Danio rerio: one gene and its partner. The protein of the gene in region 1 binds, or shares a complex with, the protein of each later gene. Links are inferred from orthologs where the notes say so. Each region holds a gene or a part of one and is shown on either strand. Other genes may lie near its edges.

The links. Proteins that work in one complex are often made in the same cells at the same time.
Region 2: dpm1 (region 1) and dpm3 share a complex: the UniProt entries of both Homo sapiens proteins name them as parts of the dolichol-phosphate mannose (DPM) synthase complex. The link is inferred for Danio rerio from reciprocal best matches to the Homo sapiens genes DPM1 and DPM3.

Annotation. Positions count from the first base shown.
Region 1 is NC_133198.1:23,416,647-23,420,856, forward strand, and holds the start of dpm1 (dolichol-phosphate mannosyltransferase subunit 1), read left to right. Parts: upstream 1-1,277; 5' UTR 1,278-1,312; coding exon 1,313-1,443; intron 1,444-1,579; coding exon 1,580-1,679; intron 1,680-1,766; coding exon 1,767-1,800; intron 1,801-2,255; coding exon 2,256-2,332; intron 2,333-2,671; coding exon 2,672-2,697; intron 2,698-2,831; coding exon 2,832-2,927; intron 2,928-4,066; coding exon 4,067-4,135; intron 4,136-4,210. UniProt on the Homo sapiens protein: Transfers mannose from GDP-mannose to dolichol monophosphate to form dolichol phosphate mannose (Dol-P-Man) which is the mannosyl donor in pathways leading to N-glycosylation, glycosyl phosphatidylinositol membrane anchoring, and O-mannosylation of proteins; catalytic subunit of the dolichol-phosphate mannose (DPM) synthase complex.
Region 2 is NC_133194.1:9,591,860-9,596,166, forward strand, and holds dpm3 (dolichol-phosphate mannosyltransferase subunit 3), read right to left. Parts: upstream 2,935-4,307; 5' UTR 2,877-2,934; intron 1,473-2,876; 5' UTR 1,430-1,472; coding exon 1,151-1,429; 3' UTR 426-1,150; downstream 1-425. UniProt on the Homo sapiens protein: Stabilizer subunit of the dolichol-phosphate mannose (DPM) synthase complex; tethers catalytic subunit DPM1 to the endoplasmic reticulum.

The sequences.
Region 1 (4,210 bases):
TTCTAATGGGTTGTGTTGTAAATGTGGACACTAGTCATCATTTACTCTTCCTCTGCTGTGATATTCTTTTATCTGTTAAACACAAAATAAAGTATCTTAAAGAATATTGGAATCCAGTAACTTCTGACTTAAATAGTTTTTTCACACTGTGGATTTCCTGGTTTGAAACCATTAAAAAAAAAGTGAGTAAATATTCTGTTGTGTGTTTGTGTGTGAAAACTCTTTCAACTAACTAGAAATGTAACATTTGTAGGCAAACTTCATGGTGTTTTGAGAAAGCCCAGTCTGAAAGTTTGGAGTAGTTTCGAAGTTTAAATAACTGAAGTAGTTTTTAAGAAGTTTGACAGTTGGCATAGTTAGATAACTACATGTTAGCATGTTTCTATCAATGCTAAGGTGTTACTAGGTGTTTGCTAGGGTTTTTAGGTGGTTGTTAGGGTGTTCTAAGTGGTTGCTAGGGTATTGCTAGATAGTTGCAACAATGTTCCGAGTGACTGCTGGCAGTTGCTAAAGTTACGCTAGGGTGTTCTGTTATAGTTAAGGCGTTGCTAGGCAGTTGTTCTGAGTGGTTACTAAGGCATTGCTAACATAAATTAGCATGGTTCTAGTATGAATTACCATGTTGCTGGCATGTTTCTAGTAACTAGCATGTTGTTTTGCAATGTTGCTAGCATATATTTTTCTAGTATAAGCTAGCGTGATTCTGGTATGAATTATGTTGCAAATGTTTATAATATAAGGATTAGTATGATTCTAGTAAGAATTGTATGTCGTTAGTATGTTTATAGATTAGTATGTTTCTAGTATGGATTAGTATGTTTTTAAGATTAGTATATATTTAGTACAGATTGCTATGTCGAAATATGTTTCTAGTATAGATTATGTTTCTAGTATGAATTGTCGTTAGTATGTTTCTAGTATATTGCTAGCATACATTGGTTTATTCTCATTATGTCTAATGTAAAGTCAATGGCAGATTTTTACAAAATAAGGCAATGGGACAGTTGCTACCGTACGGCTATAAGATGAAAAGGTGATCAGTGATTGTCAGATTGGTAGTCTGAGTTGAGCCTGTATGACAGTCTGGTGCAAAGTTACAAACTGGTCACAAACTTTGGTCCAATATTAAGTCAATGGGACTTTTTCCGTGTCAGATTTTGGAAAATCCTCTATGTAGTATAACAGTATGTTGGCTTTCTCAACTTCCATCATAAATATTCTGCGATCTGCTCCGGAACCAAAGGATGGAGCTCCTGATTTCCACGGACAGCAAATCTGATGTAAACATCCGGTGTTTACTATAGACGCCAACATGGCGAGCCGCAGAAGTAATGCGAAGAGTCGGGACAAACCTGACAAATATTCTGTCCTTCTGCCGACTTACAATGAGCGAGAAAACCTCCCGTTGATCGTCTGGTTGCTGGTGAAGTATTTCGGCGAAAGGTAATTGCGAAACCTGAATAAAACCAGCTGTCAGCTTGTAGAAGTCCTAATGATGAGCTGTCAGTGACGTCACGCTAGAAGAGGAACTGTAATTTTTTTTATCGGTTTTAAGTGCTCATTTATTTCATTAATGCAGTGGCTACAACTATGAGATCATAGTCATCGATGATGGCAGTCCAGACGGAACACTGCAGATCGCCGAGCAGCTGCAGAAGATTTACGGCGCGGATAAAATTGTGAGTTATGCATTATTATACACACCACATGATTGATATCTCGTCGGATAAGTAATTAAATAAAGCTGGTATTTTTATTCTTTTCAGCTCCTGAGACCGCGAGCAGAAAAGCTGGGATTAGGTAAACTGGCTCATTATGCTAAATAATCATTTTATTAATGCTTCTTAAATAAATAGTTAATCCTTAGGTCATCCAAGTTGTAACAAAAACAGGAGTGAGCAACACCGACATTTTAAAAGTGCCCAAAAAAACATATACAGGAAAAACAAAATCTGAATATCTGTGTCTCCTGAATCTTCAGAAGTGAAACAATTGCAAGAAACTGAACATTATTAAGTTTTTAATATTGCCTGTATGACAACATTATGAATTGGCAACATTATTAATTATGAAGGTCTTAAAATGTATTTAATGTTTTGCTGAATATGAAAAGTGACCCAAATTGTCTTATGGTGTGTAAAAAATGAATAGTAACTGGTTATTTTTCAGCTAAAATATGTGTGCTGTAGCAGTATTGACGTTAATTAATTATTTTATTATTAATTAATTAGTAATTGACGTTTATGTCATTTCAGGTACTGCCTACATCCACGGCATTAAACATGCAACAGGAAACTTCGTTATCATAATGGATGCAGATCTGTCACATCATGTAAGCATTCATCAATTAGTTGCATACTGTGTGTTTTGTACCTTTTTGAGTAAATTGCATGCAGGGTTTACATGGCCATGAAAAAATGGACATATTTAGAAAAGCCATTGAAATGAATGTTGCTGAATGTCTTATGATGAACATGTGCCTTTAATATATTTAATGTTTTTACTTGTGGCAAAAGGGTTTCAATAGAATTAAAGTGATTCATAGTTATAACGACTTATAATGAGTTAGAATTAGGAGCCATCTCATGGGAATGATTTGTGTGTGTTTCTGCTTGTATCAAGTGAAGCCTTTAGGAGCATTCATGTATGTGTTTTTTCTTCTCCTTCACAGCCAAAGTTTATCCCACAGTTCATTGAGTAAGTGATTTCTAATTCATTTATCCTTGCTTCTGCTTTTAAAGAACTGCTCTTTATTCTGTGTAATGTAGTTTTGCAGTAATAGCATTATTACAAGCCTATGAGTAACTTCCACAAATTTGATATTTGTTCAGAAAACAGAAAGAAGGTGGATATGACCTGGTGTCTGGCACAAGGTACAGAGGAGATGGTGGTGTGTATGGATGGGATCTGCGGCGAAAACTCATCAGGTATAGGACTGGCAACTTTAGCTGAATGAGCAACTCCAATGAATAATATTAATAATAGGCAAATAAGATGTATTTTGTCATCTTTAGATCTATGTTATGGCTGCTTGATTATGTAAAAGAAATCGTTATCATGATTTCTTTGGTCCAAATTGTCATTGAAATGATTTTTTATTTAGATATATATATATATATATATATATTTTTTTTTTTTTTTCTTTTTATGTTTTATTATTGGAGATCATTTTACACATCATGAAATTTCACAATTCACAAGTAGATATGGTGCAATAATAATTTTCTCAATAATTTTAATATTATAATCATTGGAAGCCAAAATCAAAATTTATTTCGATTAATTGGGTAGCTGTTGTCCAGGGGTGCCCAATCCTATTCTTGGAGATCTGCCTTTCTGGAGAGTTCAGTGCCAACCCTGATCAAAATCAACTAAACCGACTAAGTAGGATCTGAAGAAGCACTTGGTAGTTAAAGAAGGTGTGTTTAATCAAGATTGCAGCAGAACTCTGCAGGAAGGTAGATCTCCAGGAACAGGATTGGGAAACTCTACCCTAGTCTGTGGCCCAATTTCTGTAAACTAGATAAAGGTACATACAAGTATAAATGCACAAGTGTTGGTTTAAAAAATAAGGACAAACACAATTTGAGCTTGTACACTTTCAACTTTTTTTTATTTATTATTGTGGTCAAACGCATTAAAGCAGCCATTAACACAGCTGTTATAGGGTATGCGGACAGAAAGCGCAATAAAACAAGTCATTCATGCTTCTCTCCGCTGTGTCAAAACATCAAAATACAATAAAAAATCTAGTTTTCACATTCTTTTCATTTTCTTGCTCTTCCACCTGCACAAAAGCTGTAGAACATTGGTTAGTTCATTCAGAAGTACTTGCAATAGTGATGTAGAAAGTGTCTGTAAGGAAAGGTCGTAGTGAAATTCACTTACAGCACATGTGGTCACGCAAGCGATGCATCCAAATACTTGTAAATGTCAGTTTGATATGGCAATGTCAACCGACCACTCAGAATAAATAAAAACAGGGCTTAGATTATTCCATGGCACATATACTCTCACATTTTGTGGTACTATATTACTTGGTTGATATAACTTTTTTTTGTTTTAGTCGAGGGGCAAACTTTGTAACACAAGTTCTGCTCAGACCAGGAGCGTCTGATCTTACTGGGAGTTTTAGGTGAGGCATGTTTATAAAGAAATCAGTCTTATTACTTCTCATAAACTGTATTGTCATTATAAATAACGTGTTCTT
Region 2 (4,307 bases), on another chromosome or scaffold:
ATTCTGCACAGAAATAGCAAAAAATGTCCGCAGTTTCTGTCTGGCCTTGGCTATAACTTAATGCACTACAGAATGTTACGTTTACACACACTCACTAATTACATATAAATGCATCAGCTTTTTAGTGTAATACTTCTGAGTACTTTTGAAAGCTCTACTTTTTACTCATACTTTGAGTAATATTTACATCAGATTCTTTTATTCTACCTGCACTACATTTTTAGGCAAGTAATGGTACTTAGGTATGACTTTTCTGTACTCTTATCCACCACTGGCTATCAGTGATTTTGTTCATAAACTTAAAAAAAAAAAATTCCCAAAGTGGGTCTGGTAATAATGCAATTATTTTAGCTGAGGATACTTTTTTTTTTTTATCTCTTTGTAGTTATTCCTGGTGTGAAGCGTTGAACCAGTAAGACTGAAGCTTTTTTTTTTTAAAGCATACATCTTTGTTTTATTAACAGCTTCAAAAAGTTACATTTACATTGCAGTTGAAAATGAATCGGTCTGTGTTTTGATTGACATGTGATTTACACATTTTGCATCAAGCATCAGTTTTATTATGTGGAATGTCCTGGAGAAAACGCAATGGAAAATTACCTTATAAAGTAGTTTTTATCTATTCAGGCAATCAAATACCACATAATGTTCAAATTAAACATTCTGACCCTTAAAATGTTATTTAATAAGTACCGTAATGGAATTCAACACAAATGTTTTACATTTGTAAATCTTTTTTTTTTTTTTTTTTTTTTTAATTGACCGACACATTTCTTTCACAAGCACAGTTCATGTGTAAATCTGAAACCGAATTCTGACTTCACTAAAAACAGAAAGAGCCATATTCATTCCTCGGCCAATGCAAATACACACACTCTGGACTTGGGACTGTACAAAAATAGCACTTCTCTGCACTGACAATATGTCCACAATGTTTCAGTAATGTTTTAAATAAAGCTGTCCTGGAGCTGAAAATAGATTCACAGGTGTGCAGGAGTTTACACCATGTTGAAATAAACATGAACTAAGCTGACCTGTTTTCATTTTAGTCCATATGACAGTGCAAACATCCATAGAACCAGACTGCAGTCACCGTGGAGGAAATGTTGTGCACAGAGAAATAAAGAATATTGATAATCACAAACTAGTTTCACATCTTCAGTCCTTTCTTCCTCAAGTCCTCTTTGGCTTCTTTTATTTGCGCTTGCAGCTCTTTGGCCGCATCCTCACAGTCATTAAATGTAGCCACACGGTAGCCGACAGTGGCCAGAGAATAACACCCAAACACCACCAGCAGGTACACGGGCATCGGCCATGCAAGCTCTTTATACTGGGGCAGCAAATGCAAATCCAGGAGGTCGAAGGTAACGAGTCCCCATGCAATGCCAATCAGAGACACCGCAAGAAGCCACTGCAGAAGCTTGGTCATGGTTTGGGGGATTGCGAGATGATTGAAGACACAGATAATCCACCTTTGAGGATAAATAGGAGAATATAATGTTAGAAATGAGGTGAAGTTGGTTTAGTATTCGCACACTTGTTAATTTATTTATTTATTTTTTTAACAGTGAAATGGTAATTATATTGTTTACCACGCTACTTTAAATATTTAGTCTTAGTGTGCGAATTATACATTGACTTTATCAGTAATGTTTGTGTAATACATGCTTCAGTGAATCAAATTCACGTATTTATTTAAATTACACCTAATTTATTCAAAAATGTATATATTATATTGAATTATAAATAAGTGTATTTCAGTTTTCAGTGTTTTATTGGAAAGGCTGTTTAGTGTATTCTGACAGGCTAGCCATTTCAACTTATCTTAGGTCAAACTTTACAAACTATGCATCTAATTTGAGTTTGCTTTTAGGCTACATGTAGAAACAAACCCCTATTTTATAAGAAAACAGCCTTGCTAATTCTTACGGTGTCTATCGGTGCTCTGAATCTGCCAGTTTCATACTGTTGAATGACTTTTTTTCTCGCGTAGACTGACGGGCACAATTATGCATTCACAATGGTATGAACCTTTATAGGGGTGGTCATATGGATGTCTACTATTTTAATTATTAACATTATTACTTAAAATACAGATCAGAGTGAACTTTCAGTTTTAAAACGCTGACCCATCAATACATCTTGTTTGGACGTCCTTCAAGAGGGATCCAGCCTTAATTAGAGGGTTAATACTTCCCAAACTCCCCATGTAATTCGCAACCTGTTTGGTCAGAAATCTTATGCAAGTATGACTTCAAAACAACATCAGCTCTATTTAATTGACTGTGAAAATTGTTTTGCTTTGATGGTTATTGGCTGCTAATATGATTACACCATTTGAATTGGCAAAGAATACTATTTTGAAGTAATATTATTAAGCATGAAGTCTGATTGAGCGAATATATAAAAACTTTACCTCAATAAGGTTAGGCTGTTATATTTCACTTAATTGTATTTAAATGACACTGTATGGCTTTTGTGCGTTCCATATAAATATTTAGTTAAAACATGAGTATAGTGCACTTAAAAAATAAGAATATTTCTAATAAACAATGCAGAACATTAGATTAAAAGCCTCAAAGCTTCGTTTTTTTGACCAGTGTTTGATACAGACGAAATCAGAAGATCAAGAAACATCATATGTGACTAAAAATTAGAATAAATGCATATACTGCTTTTAAATTCGCTTTAATCCTCACTCGTATTAAAGCTAGCACGATTGCTAATGATTACAGGTGGTTACAATGAAATCTGACAGTCAGCGCTAAACGGAGGAAATCTGTTAACTTGGCGTCAATAATTAGCGACTAAAAATTTATGTTAATAAATGAAACTGGACTTATAATGTAACGTTACTAATAAACTCTCTCTCTTACCTACTATTCAATGCCAGCTCACTGTTTTCGGATTATTGACGCAGGTTGATGACGTAAATGGCGAATAGTATTATGGGAAATGTAGTGCACGTCTTCACGGTTGTTTTTAAAACGGTCTGTGCTTTCAAATGTTTATAGAAACGAGAGATAATTAAATATCTAAGGACCAAAACAGCATTTTTTTAGTATAACTGGAAGTTTGTCTGTTTGTTTAAAACTTAAACAAACCTTTATGAAATACTGATCTCCTAAACCCTGCTGAAAGAGAAGGGGAAATGGGCATTTCGTTTCTTTTTACTCCATTATCTTAAATGTAGGCTTTAGTCTAATATTAGTATATACTGTATCTGCAATATTATTGTGTTAAAGCTTAAGTTTATAGCGCAAAAACAGCATTACATAGGCATAACTGTGTCAGTTAAATCAGTTGACTGTTGAAATTCAATTTTTTTCACCCAACTGTTGAGTTATTAAATCAATAACCCAACAAAGCCAGAGCACCAAATATTTAACATAACTGGTTGAGCTATTAAATAAATAACTTAATAAAGGTTAAAAGTAACCCAGCAATGAACCATAAATGTTTAACTCGACCAGTGGGTTAAAATAAATAACTCAACGTTTTTAGAGTGTATGAGAAAAAATAAAGTAGGATTGAACAGCAATGATTTTTTTTTGTAAATGTAGGCCTACATACAAATGCAGTAATAATTTTGTATATTCGAATCTGAAATTAACCTACAGTACATTTAATTAATTGATCTGATTCCGCTTTTTAAATTGAGTTAAAATATATAAGATCCACTGAACCTTTTCCTCAATTGAGAGATTTAGGTTTTTTTATCTGTGATGCTGGCAGGAAATGAAACGCCCGCGCTCCATCAGTCTGAAGCTGTTTTCTCTGTCTCTGTCCTGCTGGCAGTGGTGGACAGTGCTGTGTTTTGGATGCCGCGGGCGAACATCCGCCCATTGAGCACGTCCGTGACCCATCACACCTCCTCACCCGCCGAGAGGGTATAAACATCACTCAGACAGCGCTGAGATCACTGTGAGGTTATTCTTAGTGGTGTTTACACTTGTCAGCGACTGCCTCTTTCAGTACAGAGAACGGCTGTAAAAGAGAAGTGTAGCAAGTGTGGCATGTGTGTGGGACTATCTATCTATCTATCTATCTATCTATCTATCTATCTATCTATCTATCTATCTATCTATCTATCTATCTGTGATTGCTGTAATTCTCTTCATAATCAGTGTGATTTTCTTCTGCCGGGGTGTTTGCGTAGGAGTGTGCGTTCAGTGAACAGAACATACACGAAGCGCAGTGGGAAAAAAGCAAGTTGGCCGTTCACAGTGTTTGAGACTGCCAGTCCCTGCTCTCCAGCTCAGGAAACCTGTGATCCAGCAGAGAGCAGTTGGCAGACACAACAGAAC